4 linked regions of the Nothobranchius furzeri genome follow. The protein of the gene in region 4 interacts with the protein of the main gene of each other region in a pairwise test. Links are inferred from orthologs where the notes say so. Each region holds a gene or a part of one and is shown on either strand. Other genes may lie near its edges. The genes, in order: fam168a, alkbh4, sec22a and dtx2.

The links.
Region 1: the proteins of dtx2 (region 4) and fam168a interact in binary tests that used the Homo sapiens proteins (3 or more experiments, as listed by UniProt). The two-hybrid records come from large-scale screens. The link is inferred for Nothobranchius furzeri from reciprocal best matches to the Homo sapiens genes DTX2 and FAM168A.
Region 2: the proteins of dtx2 (region 4) and alkbh4 interact in binary tests that used the Homo sapiens proteins (3 or more experiments, as listed by UniProt). The two-hybrid records come from large-scale screens. The link is inferred for Nothobranchius furzeri from reciprocal best matches to the Homo sapiens genes DTX2 and ALKBH4.
Region 3: the proteins of dtx2 (region 4) and sec22a interact in binary tests that used the Homo sapiens proteins (3 or more experiments, as listed by UniProt). The two-hybrid records come from large-scale screens. The link is inferred for Nothobranchius furzeri from reciprocal best matches to the Homo sapiens genes DTX2 and SEC22A.

What each region holds. Positions count from the first base shown.
Region 1 is NC_091753.1:35,592,358-35,598,148, forward strand, and holds part of fam168a (protein FAM168A), read left to right. Parts: intron 1-857; coding exon 858-1,003; intron 1,004-3,186; coding exon 3,187-3,373; intron 3,374-3,478; coding exon 3,479-3,591; 3' UTR 3,592-3,610; intron 3,611-3,716; 3' UTR 3,717-5,791.
Region 2 is NC_091750.1:30,551,418-30,556,858, forward strand, and holds alkbh4 (alpha-ketoglutarate-dependent dioxygenase alkB homolog 4), read left to right. Parts: upstream 1-2,190; 5' UTR 2,191-2,206; coding exon 2,207-2,371; intron 2,372-2,661; coding exon 2,662-2,850; intron 2,851-2,932; coding exon 2,933-3,454; 3' UTR 3,455-3,657; downstream 3,658-5,441. Other genes in the region: lrwd1 (leucine-rich repeat and WD repeat-containing protein 1), read right to left, coding at 77-223, 410-529, 1,003-1,237, 1,397-1,500; E3 ubiquitin-protein ligase CBL, read left to right, coding at 5,175-5,318. UniProt on the Homo sapiens protein: Dioxygenase that mediates demethylation of actin monomethylated at 'Lys-84' (K84me1), thereby acting as a regulator of actomyosin-processes.
Region 3 is NC_091754.1:31,848,604-31,854,394, forward strand, and holds part of sec22a (vesicle-trafficking protein SEC22a), read left to right. Parts: intron 1-1,984; coding exon 1,985-2,148; intron 2,149-4,486; coding exon 4,487-4,666; intron 4,667-5,791. UniProt on the Homo sapiens protein: May be involved in vesicle transport between the ER and the Golgi complex.
Region 4 is NC_091750.1:69,058,444-69,064,519, forward strand, and holds the end of dtx2 (probable E3 ubiquitin-protein ligase DTX2), read left to right. Parts: intron 1-108; coding exon 109-209; intron 210-506; coding exon 507-677; intron 678-2,153; coding exon 2,154-2,315; intron 2,316-2,543; coding exon 2,544-2,633; intron 2,634-4,460; coding exon 4,461-4,697; 3' UTR 4,698-4,831; downstream 4,832-6,076. UniProt on the Homo sapiens protein: Regulator of Notch signaling, a signaling pathway involved in cell-cell communications that regulates a broad spectrum of cell-fate determinations.

The sequences.
Region 1 (5,791 bases), on a different chromosome or scaffold from region 4:
CAGGCTCCTCCAGGTGGCTGCTCAGAGGTACTGCAACCCACAGAGGCAAAAAACACATGAAACCAAATGCCTTCACTCTCCTCTACCATCTTTCTTCCAGCTGTGTGGATGTAGAGCTTGTGGCGAAATCAATCTGGAGTTCTTTACAATTGAATCCGATTAGTGTTCTTAAAGAAGCTGCAGGAAGTGTAAGGAGATTTCAGCACAAAGAAAAAAGGTGCTGCAATCAAATCGTCTGTTTGAATCTTGCTGAATGAGACTTAAAGAGGGGAAAAACAGGCTTAGATTTTTTTTGTTATTATTATTGAAATCCCCTTCTAAAGACGGCACCAGTCCCCATCTGGTGGGCTTTACAGGAAATGCAGACTAGTGTAGAAAAAATGTTTACTGCTGCTGAAGCACCACACTCACTCCTCTAATTATTTCACTTCATTAAGTTCTGAGTTATTTTTATAAAACAGTTAACACTTGCTGGGATTTATCGTCAGAAGTCCCTTAAGTGTTGTGATGATGGATTATGGTATAGGAGTAGTAGCTAACGTTGAGAATCTGGAGGTTACGTTACTGCTGATTGCTGGGAAGGATGAACTCGTAGTGGCAGCTGACAGACAGTGATGACCTGACGCTGCAGGTTCAGCATCTTATCTGATTTCTGTCACCTTTATTGCTTAAAGACGCAGCATGCAGCATATTACTGTTTTTATCCAGGAAAACGCGTGAAATGGAATGATTAAGACACCTTTTCTGATATAGTTCTCATTAATAACAATAGTCATGTTTCTTTCTACTATTGTTTTCTCATGTTTTCTGCTCAAAAACAAGAGTTTTATTAAAACTGCCTTTTCTTTTCTTTTTAGGATACACTCCTGCAGGAACCCCATACAAAGTGCCCCCCACCCAGTCAAATGGAGCACCTCCTCCCTACACCCCCACCCCCACCCCGTACCCTACAGCCATGTACCCCATCCGCAGTGCCTACCCTCAGCAGAACATCTACGCACAGGTAGGCGCGTTAGCAGTAAACCAGCGTTCCCTTGTTGGTGTGGGCATTTCTTCGTTCATTAAAATTCAGTGACTCCACATGGCCCACGCAAAGCAGGGTATCCGCGGGGTCTTAGAAAGTCTTAAAAGTCTTGAATTTGGTGAAAGGAAAATTAAGACCCTTAAAAGTCATAAATCGATTTAGTAAAGTCTTAAATTTGGTTCGTATTGACGTGATTTTAAAATATGTTCATCTCATACTTGCAAACTTGACGCTTTTGAGCGAAAATTGCTGTTTATGAAACCAAATGTGTTCACGTGAATCAAAGAGTTTTTGTTTTAGGGAAGGTGAGTCTTTGGTCGGATTTCAGTCGCTCTTTGGAGGAATCAGTTTCAGAAATATGAGGAGAGTTCATCCTCTTCACAAACCATCTTTTTTAGTGCGTCACGAGTTGCCATTTGACCGATCACAGTCACGGAGACAGCTAGGGAAAAACACGCTTCAGTAGCCAGTATCACGGTGCCACCACTACTGTCGCTTCAACATCTCGCTGCGGCTGGAGCTTAAAGTTCGTAAAATCATCAAAATCCCCTCCAGACACGTCAGTTTTTTTTTGGGGGGGGGGGTGAGTTCAAGTGTTGGTCAAAAACAGCTTTCCCAGTAATTAGACAGGTCCAACCTAACCTAAGGAAGACTGTGACAGACAAGGTGCTGTGGTTGTTGTTTCAGGTGCATACAGGCTAAAACCCTTTAGACACGTCTTCCCTACATGTTATATAAGAGATTTGAAATCAAGAAGAAAAACTTGCAAAACAGTATGGATCTGTTCTCGATGAGATGTTATTAGTGGAAAATAAACATAAATAGATCTAAAGATGTTCCTGGTACTTTTACCATCATTCTGTTGTGGAAAGCCAGCACAAATATTCAGTGAAAACGTTTAAAAGCTGCTTAAACCTTCATTATTTTATAGTGGGCCTGTCTATATTTATGAAATCAGTTGATTGTTTAAAGTAACTGTAGCTAAAGTTACTCCGAGCCACAGTAGAAGGTCCAGCCTGAGTTGAGCTGTGGTAACTGCAGAGGAACTGAGAAACAGCATTAAACCTTTTGCTGTTTGTTTGTTCAAGTTTAATTCAAATAGAACATGTAAGACATCAATTATATAATAATTGTATGTAAATGTACCAGTCATGTTAGAGGTAAAAGACAGAATAGATTAAAAAAATAACATTTGAACTATATCTGGTTACATTGAAGCGTCACGTCCCACAGTGAGCAGTCTCTGTCCCACATTTGGTGAGTTTGGATCTGGACATCCTACTTAAGAATGATTACAGTCATTTGGAATATTTTCAGATGTTTTAATGTTTGGTGTTTTGTGAATTATTTTCATAATAATAGTTAATTATTATATGATGATTCCTAATCATTATCTGATTAGTTATTTCAGTTTATTATATTTAGTTCTCTTGAACAGTAGGACCGGTAGAAATTGCTTGCATTTTGCAAAAACATCACTTAATTTATTTATTTTTTAAATATTGTCAATAAAATAAAAGTATATAAATGTCAGAGGTCACTACAAAACCCACTGTAGAATAGATGCACATCTGCAGCACGTGAGGACCTTGTTTAGGGGGAGTTAATTTAGGTGTCACTTTTTTTACCCAGTTCGTGGCTATGAAAAATAGATGCATGTAAACTAAAAATATATTTATTTTGTTCTTCAGTGCGCGCGGTTTGCATTTTTGTACCACCTGACTTTACGTATTACTTTACGTATTATTGCTACAGCCTCGCTGTCCCGGATGTGACGTAACCCAACATGAAGTGAAAACGAAGCGATGCAGTATTTAAAAACGATATATAAGTGTTTTAACAGTTGATTAGTTCTTTGTTATAGTCTTCATTTTATTTTTACAAGGTCTTAAAAAGTCTTGAAAAAGTCTTAAATTTAATTCTGAGATTCCTGCATATACCCTGCAAAGGTTAGAGCAGCAGAAGTCTTCTAGCTTTCACTGATCTTGTTAACTAAGAAACGGTGCTTCTATTTTATCTAGCCGTGGATCAGGTGGCATCTGATTAGCAGAAAGAGGTGTTTTAATAGTGTTGGAGTTGAAGGTTTTCTGCACATTTATAAAGATGAAAACGTCCCCGTCCAACACCTGAAGTATTAAAACTTTGTGTTGTTCTCCTGACAGGGAGCGTATTATACCCAACCAGTGTACGCAGCTCAGCCACATGTGATCCATCACACCACGGTGGTGCAGCCCAACAGCATCCCCTCCACGGCCCTCTACCCTGCCCCCGTCCCCGTTCCTACACCCCGCAACAACGGCATGCCTGCCATGGGGATGGTAGCCGGGACAACCATGGCCATGAGCGCAGGTAGGACTAATACTACCCAGAGATTACCTGTGTAGCAGCCATGTTTAAGATAGTAAGATGGTTATGATAAACCCTGTTCACATTCCTGGTGTTGTGTCTGTGTAGGGACCCTGCTGACAACGCCCCAGCACGCCCAAATCGGAGCACACCCAGTTACCGTGCCAACCTACAGGCCCCAAGGGACACCTGGTTACAGCTACGTACCGCCTCACTGGTAGAGCCCAATCCACCCATCATGTGAGCGTTTGTCCTGGGAGATGTCTCCTCCACTTGTCTCTTCTTCTGTTGTCCATCCTCACAGTTCTACCTTCTTCTGAATCCATTGTTCCCCTTTCCCCTCCAGATCTGGAGTCCACCATCGTATGCAACTGCTCAAACGTAACACGAGCTCCCAGCAGTAACCACGAGAACTCGGCACCTGTCTGCAAGAACAAAACTAAAGTGCAACAGCCACTTTACTATAATTGTGATTACGCGACATTCTCTAATATTTTTACAAAAGCTGCTTTTGTTTTAGTTTTTTCTCTTTTCATTTGCCAACCAGTCATTACTTTTATTTTGAAAGATGTTTGAATTCCTCGTAACTTTTTATTTTTTCCTTTGCCGTCTGTCATCGGAACTCCAGAAGAACTCTCGACCAACCGCGGGTGTCGGTCGCTCCTGCTTCTCTGTGTGTGGGTGTGTGTGTGTGTGTGGTCCCGCCTGCTGGGCTCAGCTGGTGGGAGAATATTGGGCACTTACTTCTTCGTCATCATCATCCTCTCCATCAGTCTCTACAATGACTATTGACTAATGCTGCCAAATGTTCTAACAACTAGATATCAGCACAGGTTTCCAACGATTTTATGCTCTTTTTTTTTGACACTTAACACTAAAATGCTTCAACTTCTCCTTTTTTACTTTTGCTTTTCTTTGCTCTCCATCTTTTTCCTGCCTGATTTGATCCATTCTTTTTTCATTTTGATTTCGGTCATCTTCCAGCATGTCTCCAACCGTCTTGGCGGCTCGCTAACCCTAACCCTCGTGTCTTACTGTTTTCCCATTGTACCAAGTACGCACTAAAGAAACCCCTTCAGACTACAGTCTATGCAGGCTGGTATGTCATGACAAATTTTAGCTAGAGAACATTTCAGACTTGTTTGGCTCATGTGTTATTGTGATTATGCTAAAATTAAAAAAATAACAAAAACATGCACACATACACACACGCCTGGGTTCTTGTGGCGGGACAAAACACACTTAGTGGCACTTACTGAACAGAACCTCCAGTTGGAACACGAACACGACCGTGGATTTTTAGGGGTGGGCGTGGCCTAGAGTGAGCAGAGAAGGCGTTTAAAGGGAGAGCTGAGGAGGGGGTGACAAAACCACGGGCGCTGCTTTTGTTTTGGACATTCATTATATGATTAATACTTTAAATCTACTGTCGTTCAATCTCCTTTTCTCTGGGCGAGGACTGATAATCAAACACAAAAGAGATTTAATTATAATGATAATAATAAGTCAAATTAGTAGATTTTAGTTTAATAGCGGAACAACAAAAGTATTGTAAGATGTGTCCAAAAATATAAAACTGTAATTAAACAAAAAAAAAAAGACATGGAGTTTAATGATTCTGCAATCCAACTTGGGCTCATCGGTGCTCTCTTGGTGGAGATTTTGGTGCGAGTTCGGAGATGGCTAGCAGGATCCCACGTTTAGGCACAGCCTGTGGCATTTTTCAGATCTTACACACAGTCAAAGAAAAACCAGATTAACGTTTAAGATCTGTAGGATGCAGATTGGTATTACGTTAAGCATTTACTGCACGGGTAATGTGGATGAGGTGGTTTGATTATTGCAATAAATAAAGAGGTAATGCCTCCAGCTCAGCGTACGGTCATTATTTTATCAGCATTCTGACTAGATTCTTTTAGCATTACCTAAATACTGATCCGGAGGCGTTTTACAGAGCCTTCCTTCCATAATTCATGCTAAGAAGTTAAGAACATATCAGAAGTTTGGGGGTTTGAATAGCATTGTGAGGAAATATTGCACAAAATAAGATAAAAAAAATAAACACTTGACTATACTATTATGATTTAATGCTAAGGAACAGGTACTTAGGCTTTGTAGTGCAAAAAACCGAGGACTTTGTATCATAATTAAAATAAAACAAGGTTGAGTGTTAAGGCGTTCTTAGTCCAGATGTTTGTACACTAGTAGGTTCAAGTTATTGCATTAAGCCGCTGTCGGAGGAAAACCACCGATATTTGACGTGGTAAAAAAACAATTACGTGTATTTTATATGAATGAAGTGGTGGATTAGGAATGAAAAGTTCCAGACCTGTTGGGATTCTTTTATATTTTAAACGAATGCTTTAAATTGACAGAAAAAAAATTATAATAGGATTTTCCTGCGACAGCTGTGACATTTCT
Region 2 (5,441 bases), about 39 Mb from region 4:
AGTAAAAACAAAACTGTTAAAAAGGGATGAAAATTAGCAAAAAAGTCCCAGAGATCCTTGTAAATTCAGGACTTGCCCTCCATTTGGTGAAATCGCTGACTGAACTGGGACCAAATTTGACTTGATGACGAGCAGCGTTCACAAAGTTCTTCTCCAGATCGGACATTTTGCCGGCCGTGATGGGATCTGGGAGACTGAAGCTCCGCTCCCAAACTGTGACTATCTGAAATCAAGCAGCAGCTGAGTGACCCAAGTGTGGGATATGATGAGAAAGTGCAGCAGCTGGGTCGTTTCCTTTTAAAATGCAACATTAGAGGTGTGATGCAATCGAGAGCCACAGCTTAACTCAAAGTCTAATGAATAATCATCATGAATGTTTTCAAACGAAAGTATTAAACGGTTTTCATACCCTGGTCCTCAGGTTGTCACTGAACACGTATCGTAAGTGGCTGGCAGTGGTGCTGACATCTTTGTTGTTGTAAATCCTCAGTTTGGGCAGCAACACCATCAGCTTGTAACTATCACTTATCTAAAAATAACAGAGTCAGGACTTGATCTCAGTTGTAAAAGAGAATTTTAAAGTTTGAGACAAAAATAAAGGAATATCTAACAAAAAGGAAAAGCTGCAGCGCTGCAGAGAACAAAAAGACGTGCTAATAAAACATCTAGACTTGTTGAAGTAGTTATCTGATGACAGCGTTAGAGGAAAACTTCCTTTTGGTTTGTTTTTTTCACCTCATGTGGATATTGTCGCGGTAAAATAGTCATGGGTGGAAAAACTGCATCACATGTAACAACCAGACTCCAAAAGATGCCACGGTAACGTTTTACGATTCTGTAAAGTTCTGAGATGAATTCAAAGACAGAAATTATACTTAAACCACTCATTTAAATAAGACCAATCGAATAGTTTGAATTTTAAAAAGGCAGCTCCGTCCTTTATGTTATAACAGAGACGGAACGGTACTGGATTACATGCGACAAAAACAGCCAAGTCCTCACTGTGATGTAAAAGTTGTCATCCATTTTTAGTTCCTCCAAGCTGCTCAGAGACTCTAAGGTGGTGACATCCTCCATCTGGTTGTTGGTGAGGTCCAGGTACCGAAGTGCAGGTAGCTTCAGGTTCTTTGGAAGCTCCTGCAGCCTGTTCCCGGATAGATCCCACCGCTCCAGGGACTGCAGGCGGGATAGCAGCTTCACAGGAAGATCCCCGTGCTTCAGCGCCATCTTAGACAGACTAAATAGAAGAAACCCGTCAAGTCAACATGGGGATTTTAGATCAAGCTTCATATCTGCAAGTAAAACTAATTTTACTATTAAATGCGATTAGTCATCAACTGATAAAAGAGTGACTTCACCAGAACACACAAATAGTTAATCAAGGGGGAAGACTTACTTCAGAGTTTTGATTTGCTCCAGTTTGTTGGTTTTTGGAGAACCTTTCTCCAGTAAAAGCTTCTCTGTTACATTCTCCATAGCTGATCTGCTGGAAAAGGACATCTAATGTGGAATCTATCAGCAAAATAACATGTTAAACTTTTATTCGCACTCACTGATTAAGTTGTATGGCCTGATAAGTTTAAATAATGTCTGTACTTAAAACGAGCTAAATATTTAGCATTTTTTCATTTAGTAAAGAGACGATGCCATTGCCAAGTGACATCTTTACTGAGAAAAATTTAATATAACCAAATCAACTTCATGCTTCAGCAAGGTAAAACTGAATCTGTTAGTTTGATTTCGATTGGTTTTACTTTAGCAGTAGCTAGCATAACCACGTTGACACGATCGATTAATCAACTCTTTGCTAGGTTAGTAGTTAGTAATATAACTGACTCTTTTTCTAGCCATAACAAATGAGCAAACACCTTTAATAATGTTTAATAAAGTATTTTTTATGTTACTTACCAACTCCTCTCTGCAACTTTTGTGTCTGCAACACAACTGACCTTTCCCGGGGAAACTCCGTCTACATCCGGTGGGCGTGGTTTACCTAAAACTTTGGCCACAGTTTACCCTGAACATTGGCTGTAAGACAAGTCAAACAAATACGACTTTCGATTATTATATTTCTTGTTTATCACATATATTACTAAGTATTGTCATATTTTGTTTTATTTGAAATTTTAATGCGCCAATAACAGTGCGGCAGAACGAAAATAGGGGTTAAAAGAAGTAATTTTACGCCTGCGGCTCCGTCCGCTAGATGGCAGTGGAGCTACGATTTCCAAGTAGAAGAAGATGCAACATGATGATGATGGTCTCTGACGACGGCGACGGGGTTATTCCATGCGCTTGTAAAGGCATCCGACGCTGTCTTGTCTGTGAAACGTTTAAGGCGAGTGTACTGCTTGAAACAAGAGAGTCAAAGGTACGTGTGTCGAACAAAAATCTCAGTTTTAATGTGCGATGTAACGTCTGTAAACCTTGGTACGGAAGCCCTCACTGGACAAATTGTGTTGTTTATCAAAAATCACTCTTGTTTGTTCTGACAATATTCTGGTACAATGTTGTAAATTTGATTTAAATAATGAGATACAACCCTGGTTTATTTAAATGTTGACGGCATGTATCTTTACTTATTGTGAAATGAAATTTTATAATTAAAACATGTCATCACAGCTTTTGTTTATTAATGTTATCTCTGTTTTTGGTATGAAGATTGTGCATCATTTCCTCTATAATGCCAAGACGGGGCTCGCTGTCAGCGAAGATGAAGAGGGCTCTTCCTTCCCTTTTTCTGGAGTCTTCCTGTGGGAGAACTTTATATCAGAGGAGGAGGAGAGGGAGCTGATTAGCGTAATGGACCAGGATGTGTGGCATCCCTCACAGTCTGGCCGAAGGAAACAGGTGGAAAACATTTAATGAAAATGTACTTTTTTGTGGGTTACATATTTTTAACATTCAAATTTTTCATTTTACACGGTTGCAGGACTTTGGCCCTAAAGTAAACTTCAAGAAGAGAAAAGTGCGCATCGCAGACTTTACTGGACTTCCTGCTTTAAGCCAAAAACTGGTGCTGCGGATGCAGCAAGATGCAAATCTTGCGGGCTTTCAACCAGTGGAGCAGTGCAATCTGGATTACGCTCCGGAGAGAGGCTCAGCCATTGATCCGCACCTGGATGACTCCTGGTTGTGGGGGGAGCGGCTGGTCACCATCAACATGTTATCAGAAACTGTGCTCACCATGTCTCTTGAGCAGGGTCTGCCAGAGTTGGGACTTTCAGAGGAAGTCCAGGTTGCTGTACGACTTCCTCGCAGGTGTTTAGTTGTGTTATACGGCGAGGCGAGGCATAGGTGGAAACATGCAATTCATAGGAAGGATATTCATGAACGCAGGGTCTGCAGCACATACAGAGAGCTGTCTGCAGAGTTCCTCCTTGGAGGGAAGCAGGCGAAGCTGGGAGCTGAACTGTTGACTACTGCTTTAAGCTTCGGAGGAACTCCAATATAAACAGAGGCAGAAAAAGCTGGACAAAGTAGACGTGAAGTGTCTCAGTCTGAAACTGTGCCACATCAAAGGACTAATTATAACTGGAGTTTTCAACTTATGTTTTAACGGTAAAGCATTATTGTCACCGAACAGCAACTCCACCATTCTGTTAGGACAGCAGGACGATGAGTTTATAATAAAGCACCAGCACTGTGTGATCTCCAGTATCAGTGTGGCTGTGAGTTATTTGAGGCCTGCTGCGTGCGGGTTTCTAGAATAAACACCAAGGCGTGACAACTACATCACCAAGCGAAGTTCTACACAATGTAACGTTATGAACAAATATGGAATGTTTTCTCCCAAATAAATATCTTTTTAAGTCTGTGCTTTAATGACGGCTTTATGTAGATCAAGTACATTTGAATTGGTTTAGTGAACTAGACCAAAATCTTGCTTTGCAAAGTTAAATAATATATTGATTTAGTCTGTCTTACCAGGGTGCATTTGAAAATGACTGAGATGAATTCATAAAATTTTTCTTTCTTTTCTGTTTCTTGCGTATACATTTTATTCCATCCAGTAGGTAGCGCTAAACTCCTAGAGTAAAATAACAGGTATAAATTTATTCTAATAGAATGTTAGTCTTCGAAAAAAATCTTTTTTAATTATTAAATGTGAAGGTTTTTACATACATTTTCTGTTGATAGAGTGCATTATTTTTTGTTTTTATTGAATGAAATAAATATTTCAAATAAATTTGCTGATTTATAATGAAATACGTCTTCCTGAAAAACAAAATTATAATAACAAAAATTAAATAAAAAAAGGTATTTATTTTCCCTCCCTTATAGTGTCAAATAAAGTACTGACCAAAAAGTGAGATTTCTCACATCACTACGTTTAAAAAGGCCCTATGTTGAGCGAGGCGCAGCAGTTATTGCTTAATTTATTTAGACTTTTTGTTTATTAATGGCACAACATTTAATGTTAACACTGTCAAGCGTAATCTGAGTCTAGCTAATCGTGCACTTGACTATAATAAATTAAAAAGAAGAATCTCCTTCATTTAAGGGAAATGGCATCTTGGATTTTTTTTCTTTTTATAATAATAGACTAGAAGTTATGAAACTATATGTAGCCTTTTCAGTCCGGCTTAAGTCATTTTTTATTTGTCTTTTATTTTAAATATACAAGTGCAAAACTGTGATAAGTAAAAAAGTTCAAACTCGAATGGAGCAGTTATTAAGATGTTGCTGATGTTTAACAGACAAGTATATGTAGACCGATGCTTTTATTTTGAAAGTCTGACCGGACATCCGTGTTTACTTTAGCTGCTCAGCCTGTTTGTTGATCGCTCTCCTTTTGCTCATTAACGCCCAACTGTAAGCCGGCTTGATATCTCAGGGAGATTTTACTCACCGTCGCCAGGAGTCAAGCCGCTTTTCTGACAGCAGCTACGACAAACAGCGAGTATGTCTCGGACTTGAATTTGACGACGGAAATCAAGCGGAGAGTCTTTTCTAATGTAGCTTGTTAGCTTGGCTGCGTTGCGTACAGTCCCCGCACACACAGCCTTTTTGTTCTGCTCTTAGACAGCCTCTGCATGACGAATCACCGGCCGTGTTCAGTACAGACAGGGCGGGTAAAACAGCGAGGGCTTTATTGAAAAACGTGTCAAGAAGAACACCCCTGGTTTGTCAACGCGAACCCCGGGGCTAAACCCCGGCCATCGAGCGAATTAATGGCCGGAAATCCGAGGAGGGGCGCCGGTCTCATCGGTTTGATGAAGGACGCCTTTCAACCCCACCAGCAGCCTCTCCAGGCTCATCAACCCGCAGTGGTCGATAAGAAAATGGTGGAGAAATGCTGGAAACTCATGGATAAGGTACTGTCAGTGGCTTTGGGTTAGCAGATGCTTGAATATAATCCGAAAGTTTAAAATGTTCCTGACTTTAAACTCCTATGACCAATCAGCTCATCATAGACGTTAATCTCACGTTCTTGTCCA
Region 3 (5,791 bases), on a different chromosome or scaffold from region 4:
CCAGAGCACTCCCTTGTGGCACCCCACAGCTCACCACTACTTGCTCAGAATAACTTCCATTGAAATTAGGGCTGCACAATGTATCGAAAAATTATCGTCATCGCGATAACAGGACGTGCGATAGGCCCATCGCAAAACACGTCAAAAACAGCGATAAATGTTTGGTACAAGCATTTCCATCCATGTCATTCATCAACTTTTTGTAAATCAGCTCTGTTTTTTTCGGAAGTATTATTTGACCAATCAAATGTAGCCCTTCTGATATGCGGCCAATCAGATGGTTCCGTTCACGTAATACGCCTGCCCCCTACATAGACCCTTTTGGAAAGCAACACCAAAACAGAGTTTGCGGCGCCATTCCCTTGTTCGTCATGCTGGCTCAGAGTAACGAACGCACTTTGTGCTGAGGTTTCTGGATTCAGCGCTGCTTTCAAACGTGAACGTGACTCCGCTCGGTGTCGTTAATCATTTTTACCAGGCTGACTCCGACACGTGCCGGTGAACCAACCCACCTTCATGTCGCTAGTGTTCCACCGGGTGGTGACGTTAGCCCCAGGCTCCGGTTAGCTTCCAGCTAAAAGGCTACAGCACTCTCCTCCCAGTCCCACCCTGCTAAAGAGGGCCTGGAAAAGTTCCCCCACACATCAAAGTGATTTTTCATTTATGAGCTTTTATAACCTTGTTAATCAGGATAGTTGATTTGCTGCTGCACATAAACTGTCAGTCAGAAGCTCTGCTAGCCGGTGTTCTTAGAGGAGCTAGTTCAATTTGTTAGCGTGTTATCAGAATCATAGTTGCAGTTTCATCATCTGAGCTGCTTTTTAAGATCTAGGTAAACTTGTTCAATTTGGGGTTAAAAACAAACGTTTTCACATATTTTCCATGTAGTTTTTTTTTGCCAGTTCCTCTTCTGAAAGGTAGACAATTGTTTTTCTCTTTCCCTCAGAAAATCTTAATATTCTCCTAGTTTGGCCCAGCACAGATCACTTCCCAATTGCAGCAACAGCCTTATATCATAACCACATAAGTGGAGAAAATGTTCAGTAGCAATGAGAGAATTTGCTGTTGCATGTAAATGATGTTAACTATTATTTAACATTTAAACTTATTTTCAGATTTTTTTTTTTTATTTATTCAAAAAACCCTGGTAATGGATGTTTTTCTGTATGTGGAGCATCAGAAAAAGTTTTATGGTGGAGGTGATGTTTTAAAGTCACTGAGAAACTGCTTGCATGCAGTTTGTTGTTTTGCTGCTAATACAGTAGCAGGTGCAGCTGCATAATGTTGCAATAAAAATGTTATGTTGTAATGGAATTCATGCATTAGTTTTTGTTTGCTTTGAAACCAGAGCAGACGTCAGACGCCAGACGACATCAACACTGCATACTTCAGTATTTGTTCATTTATCGTGAGTAATATCGATATCGCAATATTAAGCACTGTTATCGAATATAGCAGGTTTTCCTAATATCGTGCAGCCCTAATTGAAAAATACCATATTTTTACTATCTGTTAGAAAGCTGTTCATCCATGTCATGGCAGTCGTTTCTGCATGAGGGACATACAAAGCTTGTGCTTGGACATGACCTGAGGACAATAGCAGGAGGCAGCAGTGTGTCCTGGAAGCATGCAGTCTACCAAACCAAACTCTTCTGGCATCATTGTTGTCCGTTGTTTAATATTGATGACTGTTTCTACTTTTAATTGTGCTGAAATAAGGAACGTCTTTAATCCCTGAGATGTAATTTGAGCTCATTGTATCGGTTTTCACCACAAGGCTCTTGGATAATGTGTTAGAACAGGTGCATTTGTATGTAAATGTGGTGATTGAGTCTTAATTATCAGTACAAGTGTGATATTTCTCCAAAGCAGTGATGTGTTTAATTAGTGGTTGTTCAGAGCTGCTGGAATGTCAGCGTTTGTTCCCAGGAATTCTGAGAGATGCATTCAAAGCAGCCATGTTTGTGCTTGTGTGTTGATTTAGTTTCACGTACTCTCTGGGTGTGGGGTACCTGATGGTGTGCACTGCTAGTTACCCCAACGTGCTGGCCTTCTGCTTCCTGGACGAGCTGCAGAAGGAGTTTATTGTCACTTATGACCCCAAACGGATCAGCAGCGCCGTGCGGCCGTACTCCTTCATTGAATTTGGTAAGTTCTACCGTTTCTGGTTGTATTTGTATCTTGGTTTTGGTGTCACAGTTCGGTTAGGGTATTTTATTTGTTGGCTGATGTTAGCAGGAACACTGAGGCTGTACTCGAGGAATCGTTTAAGTCGTTTTATGGAGATGAGCAACCGTTTGTCAGTAAATGCCCGCTTCGCTCCAAAGTCCAAAATGATCCAAGTGTAACAGCTAGAGAAGGATTTCTGTTGCATCAGTCACAAACACAAGGAGAATATTTTTACTTGTTTACTATCAAATCCTGTGTATCTGTTCACAAACTTGGTAGTTTTCAGTAAAATTGCTCACCAGCGTCTATTCTAAGTATTCCTCTTGGCTGTAAATATTAAATTGTTTACACATAAACTGGTTGATGCTTCATAGTCATGCACCATGTTGAAATACGGTAGCTGTTTAGGGACATACAAAGCTTGTGCTTGGACATGACCTGAGGGCAACAGCAGGAGACAGCAGTGTGTCCTGGAAGCATGCAGTCTACCAAACCAACAAAGGACAAAGAGATGCACTGTTGCTGTACTTACTTAGTGAATAACATGTAATAGTGCTTTTGAAGCGCCTTGGTGCCATGTTTCATGTCTGTACGGCGCTATAGAGCCATTGCATCTTGGCGTCACTCGCCCACACCCCCGCCCCCAAGCCCCAGGCTGGAGGGCGAAGCTGGCTCCCCCTGTTGGCCACAGTTGTGTTTATCTGTTAGTTGTCAATAAGAGAGCTAAATAGTGGCAAAATAACATTTTATTAGCATGGTTAATACACATGGTTAAATGAAAGAAGTATGGTAAAGTCACATTTTACAGGCTAATTCTAGTGGATAAACCAGCCGCGTCAGAGCCGACAAAGTCTCGTGACAGAAGAGAAAAGTGAAATATCTGCCCCACGTGTCCAGAAACAAACAGCAGCCATGTAATGACTTATGCAGGGTTTCCCCCAGCTCTTTGTAAGCTGGAGGCCCACCAGGCTTTGCTTGGCCACCCGCCAGGCTAAGCGTCATGCCCCACCCCCCTCCCCGACCCTACTGTGTCCGCTGACACGAACACGCAACAAAACTGGTGAGAAACAGCATGTTTGTTGTCGACGTGTGCAACCCCCCCACCCCCACCCCCGCTCTCACGGAGGAGCGCTGCGGGACGGAGTGCGCGACCCCTCTGACGGCCGAATCGGCCAGGCTTAACTCATTTTCTGACTCATGTGAATTTATTATATTATTATGTAATTATGCGTGACCACGGGGCGAGGAGCCGGGGAGAGCCAACCGACTGAGCTGGGGGAAAGCGGTAGGCTGATCAGTCCAGGGAAGTAAACGTGTGTGAAAATGGCAACACCAGTGTGGTGTGTAGTTGTGTGTGTGACCAGCAGTAACAGTCTTGTTACAATAAGTACACAAAACGTGTGTAACTGGAGCGGACAGCCGCTAATGTTGTTCAGTTGTGTTTCTGTTTACGTTGCTCGTCAGAATAAACAGAGCATCCAATAAGCTCCACAGACTAGTGGTGTCACGGCGATTCAGCATAACCTGCAAAGCGTAGAAGAGATCCAGCTGCTCCTCGGTTCAGCGGTGAGAAGTTCAGACGGCCGGTTCTGAGGACCGTCGTCCCCACAGCTCGCTAGCTCTTTCAAGTGCATCTGAAAGCTTTTTGCTGAACACTCTTAGCTTTGAGATGTTTCTTTTTTTGTTCATCTGCAAAGATGTGTTAGATGATCTAAAGTAGTGATATTTAAATCTCTAGGTTTTATTTTGTTAGCTTGAATCGCAGAGATCCCGCTCTGGATACTGGCTGGAGACGGGTTCTTGCCCTCCAGCTAGTGTGGATGTGCGCTGTTACCCAGATGTAAGCAGTAACTTTCAGTGGGTCTATACAAATTAAGACTGAGTTGAGAACATATTGACTTTTTGATGTTTGTGGGCTACCATAGATGCAATACTTACTCACAACTGCGTGGCGCTGAAGAGTCTAATTTTTTCCCACACTGGGCCTTTAAAGGAGTTGGACCCAGACTACGTTCAGGACACCGGTGCAGCTAAAGCCAAAAGATCAAAGGTGGTGGATAAGTTAGTAAAAGGCAGGTACTGGAGACGCTGTGCAGAAGAAAACATTATCTGCTGTCCTGTGCCTTTAAGTGGTGAGAATGAATAACCTCATTATTTTAATCAGCTGATCATCATTGGAGATGAAGCGATGCCTGAGAGGCGTTTCCACCATTAAGCACGGCAGTGTTCTTATCTCTAATATAATCTGTTTATCTCCCTTGTTTTGTTTCCTGCAGCATTAAAACCAGCTTGTTTTTGTGCTGACTGTCTCCTCCAGACACCTTTATCCAGAAAACCAAGCAGCGCTACAACAACCCGCGCTCCCTGTCCACCAAGATCAACCTGGCTGACATGCAGACAGAGATCAAGCTGCGACCGCCCTATCAGCTCTCCCCAGAGGATCTGCAGGCAGTCAATGGCTTCTCAGCTCGCACAGCAGCTAAATACAAGGGCATCGGTAGGACTGGAGCTACTCCTGCTCACCCCATGGTTGTTTCTGACACCCCTAAAAGTTTCCACCTGTGCTTATTTAGCCTGTTCTGAGGCCAAGTGAGCATTTGGTGTGTGACTATATAAATATATTGGGTTAGATGAGTTGCTTTCCAGCTGAGAATCTGCTAAACTTAATCCCAAACGGAGAGCCTCCGGATTTAATCCAATTGTGAAATCTGTGGGACATCTTTAACTCATTCACTGCCAGTGACAATTAAAGTCGTCATTTGCATTTTTTTTATTGTGTGGGCGTCAGAACGAGCCCCCGCACCGTGAGAACAAACAGCTCTGAAGCCGATCTTCATCCACGTACGTCACACGTCACGTAATCAGGAAGCAGAACATCCATGTGTTAGGAGATCGTTTTGGGCCACTGCTGTAAAAAAAGTGAGGCGCGAACCAGAAAAGCTTCTGCTGATCGCAATTCAACAACCGATTATGAAAAAACGGATAACGCTCAAACTCTTCCTGATGTAAGAGGTGAGTCTCCACTTTGTTTTGGTTGTTTTGGCGTTGACATCTTTCTAACACGCAACGTTCTGTAACTCTTAAAAACAGTAAAAACGGTGAGAAATGCTGGCAGCGAATGAGTTAATAATCAGCATTTGTGGAGGTTGCTGTTTGTCGAATGTGTGCACAGCTCTTTGAGCAGGTTCTAGACATCCCTGCTCTTCATGTTACAACACTTGATGGTGCCATCCGAAGTTAATTTTAGTCCTTTGTTGCTAGAAGGAATGCACATCTCATTTTTAAACTGAGATCATCTTATGTTTAGAAATGATGGAGTTATCAGGGTGTCCGCGAGTCCTTAAAAAGTCTTACATTAGCTTTTCCAAATTTAAGGCCCTAAAAATCCTTAAAAATGACAAATAATCCTTAAATACAGTTTCCAAAGGTCTTAAATTACCAAAGACCCAATAAACAAATTTCTCTTATTTCTATAAAATTTTCGTGAATTTCTAGTTAGTGTTCAGCATTTTTTGTGTACGATGTTGGCGTAAGCAGAACCATATACATCCAGTTGGTTGTGAAAGGGGGCTATTTTAGATGAGCACATTAGCTGGTTAAGCTAGTGGGAGTTTGCGCCATG
Region 4 (6,076 bases):
CTTTCTGACGGCACCCTCCTACAGTAACTCACCTGATGAGTAGAAGTGCTGGAGTTGTTCGTCTCTCCAGGAGAAAAATAGTTTCATTCCATCCCGTCTGATTTTTAGTTTCAGCACATTCTCGACTTCTCTCTCCGCCAGTGCTGACTCGGAGCTCTGAGGACGTGATCCGGCGCTACATGGAGGTGGTGGCTGAGGTTCCCGAGGAGGTAAGTGTTGTTGCATTAAAGTAAACAAGTCCCAAATGTATTTAAAGGTATATTTAGACCTTCTGAAGGGAGTTTATTTCTATTTGTTGGTTTTATTTGAAGTAGAGGGAAATTGAAAAAGACAAAAGCTCTCAGGACAGCAACACAAAAACACCATTTCTCTGAACAGAGGCTGTTTTAGAACTTTTACACATAAATGCATTTCAAGATGGCTGTAATATCCCTTTAAGACACGGCTCAAGGCATGATGGGAAATGTTGTGTGAAGCTTTAACACTCGGAGACTCGTCTCTTCCAGGACTGCATCATCTGCATGGACCAGCTGTCCAGCCCGTCCAGCTACGAGACGCCGCCGTCCTCAGAGGACGGGGTTCAGAGCGTCCTGCCGGACACCGTGGGAAAGTTCATCACATGTGGACACACTCTGCACATGCTCTGCATGCTGGCCATGTACAACAACGGGACCAAGGTACGGGGGACGTTTGGGCTTTCTTAAAGCCTAAATCAGGAAGAAGCCTGCAAACAGAATCGTTGTTCATACAGTTCTTGTTCAAGTGTCCAAATTAAGACAAAGGATTCGGTTCTGTTTTGATATAGAATGTTTAAAGAAGTCCTCGATTAGATTTTCTTTAGTTAAGGCCTTTAAAATGACAGAAATCCTTCGATCCAAAGGTTCTAAAAATAGCACGGGGTATTTCCAGGCATGCATGTTAGCTCCAGGAGCAAAACGATGTTAAAGTTCGACTCTTAACGCCGTTTGTGTTTGATCAAATGTGATTAAATATCAAGTCAAAGAAATAAAAATGCATAGAATATTAAACGTTATTTTTGTTTATAAGGCAAGAATGGGGATTTGGAAACATAATGGTGTATAAATGATGGTAATCGGTATGCTATTCTAACGTTTTAGTGTAAGTTTCAGGTGTTTTGGGGGGTTGGGGTTATGACAGGGTATCTGCGGGTCCTTAAAAAGTCTTAAATTTGCTTTTCCAAATTTAAGGCCTTGAAAATCCTTAAAAATTACAAATAATCCTTAAATCCAGTTTCCAAAGGTCTTAAATTACCAAAGACCCAATAAACAAGATTCTTTTATTTCCATAAAATTTTCGTGAATTTCTAGTTTGTGTTCAGCATTTTTAGTGTACGATGTTGGCGTATGCAGAACCGTACACGTTCAGCTGGTTGTGAAAGGGGGCCATTTTTAGATGAGCACATTAGCTGGTTAAGCTAGTGGGAGCTTGCGCCATGGGGAAGTGCAGTTTTTATGGTAACTGGGTGGCTAATCCCACGTTTGCGACGTGGTTAGCACCGGTTCCAGGCAATAGCTGGAAATTATAGCTTAAATGAAATTTTAAAAATAGCTTAAATTTGGTCAAAGTGGCCTTAAAAAAGGTCTTAAATTTGGCTCCCTTAAACCTGCAGATACCCTGTATGAGCTCATGCTCCTGCCTGTACCCAAAAGCCAGCATTAAAGACATTAAAGACACTGCAGCGTTAGCCTCACAGGCGCAGAAACTACGTCGCTCTTGTGTTTTTGGAAGGAGAAAAACTGAAAACCTCCCAGAGACGAGGATGGTGCAGTATGGCCTTCCTTCCACCATGACTGAGACGTTACGCCCGGAACACACCATGATGCGCCGCGAAGTGCTGTGGAACGCCGAGCGCTTCTTGTTAACTTACGCTCTGGGTCACATCAGCTGCAAAGCGCCACGGAGGCTCGCGCCGTGCAGCGATGGTTTTGGCGTGCGTTCTAATTTGTTCGCGAGTCGCATCCATTCTGGCAGAAAGTCGAACCAAAACAGACGAGGCTAGCTTCATCCTCTGCAGAGAAACTGTTGTTTTTCAGCATTTTCTGTTAGAGTTCTCATTAAAATGGTCACACTTCAAATCTACTAAAGTAGATCTGAGAGGGGTGCGTCTTACCCGTCGTCTCCCTTCTCTGCAGGACGGCAGCTTGCAGTGTCCCTCCTGTAAGACAATCTATGGAGAGAAGACGGGCACGCAGCCCAAAGGCAAGATGGAGATCTATAGTATCGCCCAGTCGCTGCCGGGTCACCCAGACTGTGGTACCATCCAGATCATCTACAGCGTCCCTCCTGGCGTTCAGGTACGGCCCAGCTACCCCGATGCCGTTGAAACAAATGAATCCAGATGTTTCCAGGCGTGAAGGTGACCTGAGTTTGTTTTGGTTTGATGTTGAAAGTGTGTGATGAACGGTGAAAGGTTACAACACCTTCAACCAAAAACAAAGTTCTCTTTAGATCAGATTCTTCCTTCTTTGATCTGAACGGATCCGGTGTGACCTTATCGGATTAAACTTTCTGACATCCATCAGGGTCCGGAGCATCCCAACCCTGGACAGCTGTACACCTGCAGAGGATTCCCGCGATTCTGCTTCCTTCCCGACAACGACAAGGGCAGGAAGGTAGTATCTCCAGTCTGACCTTTAACCCAGACTAACACTCTTCAGGACTCGCTGTTGTAGTAAAAAGATACGAGCCTTTCCGGGTTTTAGAGGTAGAGAACTTGGAACAAATACATGATGGTACGGAGAAAACTGCCTAAACTCCTTTAGGAGTGTTGCAAGCCAATGTGCCGGACTAACGCCACTCTTAATTCAGATGTTTATAATCTCAGGTTTGGCCTGCAATCAATTCAGTGGGCGTGACATTAATTGCCAGTAAAGACCCTTCACTATGTAAAGAGATGATTAGCAATCACCGATTTACCCAGGGCTTCTAATTCTGACCAGTATACGTGTAAGTGGACAAAAGGAAGACCAGTTCCACCAGTACACACACTATTCCTTCGGCTCATGAATGCCTCAGGTAAAGATAGCCGTCCCTTTATGCTGAGGAAACAGTTTAAATCAAATCAACTTTATTTTTAAAGCGCTTTCCCACGCACGAAACGGACAAACAAAGCGCTGTATACCAATAAGAAGCACAACAATAAAACACGTATGAAAGAAGAAATCCCGAGTACAAGTGAGCAATCCATATCAGTCCTGTTTCCAGAATCGGATCCAGACACATGCAGAGTGATGCTGCCCACGCAATCCCAACTTTACTGTAGCACAGGATGGTTGTAACAGCTAAACAGCATTAAAACCTTTTTTGGGATGGGATACGACAACCAGCACCTCACCTTTTCGTAGATTACCGACAGAGGAGACCCCCAGAGCGTGGACTCGTTTGAAGTTCCTCGCAGTGAGAAACAGATTTTATTCCACAAACCGATAGAGATGAAAATCCCGTCGCAGCGGGTCACACAGACACGATCACAAACTCTTCTGCAAGGAAGCCCAGCTCAACCTCCACTCATCAAGCCCCCTCCAAAAAGCTCAGTCCATGACTCACTCACTCATCCCATCAAACTCTCTTCACACTCTGTCCCTCCTCCCCTCTGCGTTCTTCAGGGGGTTGCATCTCCATGGCAACACCCCCATCCTGCTGCTGGAGCTTAGCATCTAGTCACGTGTTTCCTCTTCTCCTTGAGATTACATCATCTCCGGCAGGCTCTTCTGGCTGTCCAGTCTGCCACTCTTGTCTCTCCTTGGCCTCTGGTGACCTTAGCCCAGCGTTGCCCCTCCGACTACTCCTCTTCTTCCTCTCTCGGCCTTGGGGAGGAACAGTAAATCTTCTCCTTCATGCAAGTTAGTGGGCTTATCGACTTTAAGAGTACATGATCTGTTTTTATAGCTATTACCTGGTGCACCTGGACTTTCTCCAGGATAAGCCCCCTTGCCTCCACTTCTCTGGAAGTCAAAGGTTACCACAGAACCGTCCGTGAGACCGAAACAGCTCAGAATATTTACGACTTCAGTGTGAGAAGCACACGTCTTTATCAGTGACACACACACACACACACACACACCACACACACACCACACACACACACACACACACACACACACACACACACACACACACACACACACACACACACACACACACACACACACACACACACACACACACACACACACACACACACACACATTTAGACAAAGGAAAAGCAGCAAGCATGAATTGGTTTCACAATAACAGAGAATTAATCCAGACCTGATCTTGTATAACTAACAAGTCTGGGATCAGTCTCAGTCCATCAGGGAGGAAGCATTAATATCACATTTATAAGTCTGAGAATTGTACTTACAACCTTTCCAGACATAATAAACTCGATGGTGGGAATAGACGTGCATTCCAAACGTTGTGACTGGATAAAAAAAAACCTCGTTTCTGACTTCCAGGTGTTGGAGCTGCTGAAGGTGGCATGGATGCGTCGCCTCATCTTCACCGTGGGGACGTCCAGCACCACCGGAGAGCCCGATACGGTGGTGTGGAACGGCATCCACCACAAAACGGAGATGATGTCCAACCTGTCGGGCCACGGCTACCCCGACCCCAACTACCTGGACAACGTTCTGTCCGAGCTGGCCTCGCAGGGCGTGACAGAGGACTGCCTCAAGCCTCCGGGCAGCAGCTAGGACGCAGCGTCACATTTTCTGTCACCGCAAACCTCAACCGAGCCGACGGCGGTCGCCATCACAGGCCGCCGTGTTTCTGCACCTCGCATCGCAGGAGCCTGAACTTCAAAATAAAACACATTGGGCCGACTTTAGTCTGCGCCCAGTTCATCGAACCGCCGCTCTGGAAACTCGTGATTCGTTTGTCGAAGCCTCATCAGTATCCTGGTTTTGAGTCGCCGTGGGAAACGGCGCTTATTCTGGGAGCAGAAGTCTCATGAAGCACTTTAGCTCTGACAGTGAATTTGCTGGCAAAATGCAGTTTTTGTTTGGTTTGTTATTCCACAGTGAGAAGGCAGTCGGCTCCGTCGCAGCCGAGCATTTCAGCAACGCGGCGAAACTCCAAGTAGCAAAGTCCGTTTGTACGATTATCAGTGAGAAGAGGCAACACTTAGTGCTGTAAATAAACACGAGTGCATCAAAAGTATAAAAACATCTTAAGTTTTGATTTTTACATCCATGGTTGTTTTAAAGTCTAACAAGCCTTCTGCAGCCATTTTCTTAGTGTTGAATCTGAGAGGACGGATCGAACAGCCTCAGATTTTGACCCAGGTGGACGGGAGCGTGGAAGGTTCGACAGTGTGACAATCAGAGTCGTCGTGATTAAACGAGACGCGTGAATTCGCCCGCGTCTGCTCGGCCGAGTCTCCACACATGTACATGCAACTGAAAATGTATCTGCAATAAAGAAATGATGCAAAACCAGACCGGCGCCTGATTTGAGCTGATGAAGATGCTGCAAACTTTAGTGTTTTTAGCTTCTTTTGCTAAACTAACCTGATCATTTTGAGCCTGATGAGGATTTAAAGGTGTTATCTGCTGCCCAACAGCCAGTTGGAGTTCTCATCCGCCCGCTTAACAGAATTATGTTTCAAACCAGGTTGTTAAATCTAAAACATTTTGTTTTTAAGCCATGAGAAATGAACAAGGCTTCACCCAGACTCTAACGAAGCGTTGGTTACAGGGGCGCCTCCAGAAAATTGATAGGGGTGGCCAGATGGGGCCAATGAAATGTTTGGGGTGGCACACCAAATTGGTCCATGTGGTAACTCTGGTTGAATTTAGTGTGTGGAGATGTGCTGCATTGCACTTTTGTTTTTATTAAAATAACGGTAGGTATCCAAAACATTTAACTTAATTTTATAAACAAACATTTTAGAAAAACGGTTCAGTTTTTTAAACTGTTACCCCTAATTTAATTAAAGCAGTTATTTTTTTAGGTTCATTCACCTGTTGCTGTGTTAAAAATAAAACTAAGGAGATAAAAACTTTAAATGGTGAGCAGCAGAAACATGTATTTTTTTATTGTGATTATTTCTTTACTTATTAATTGTAATATT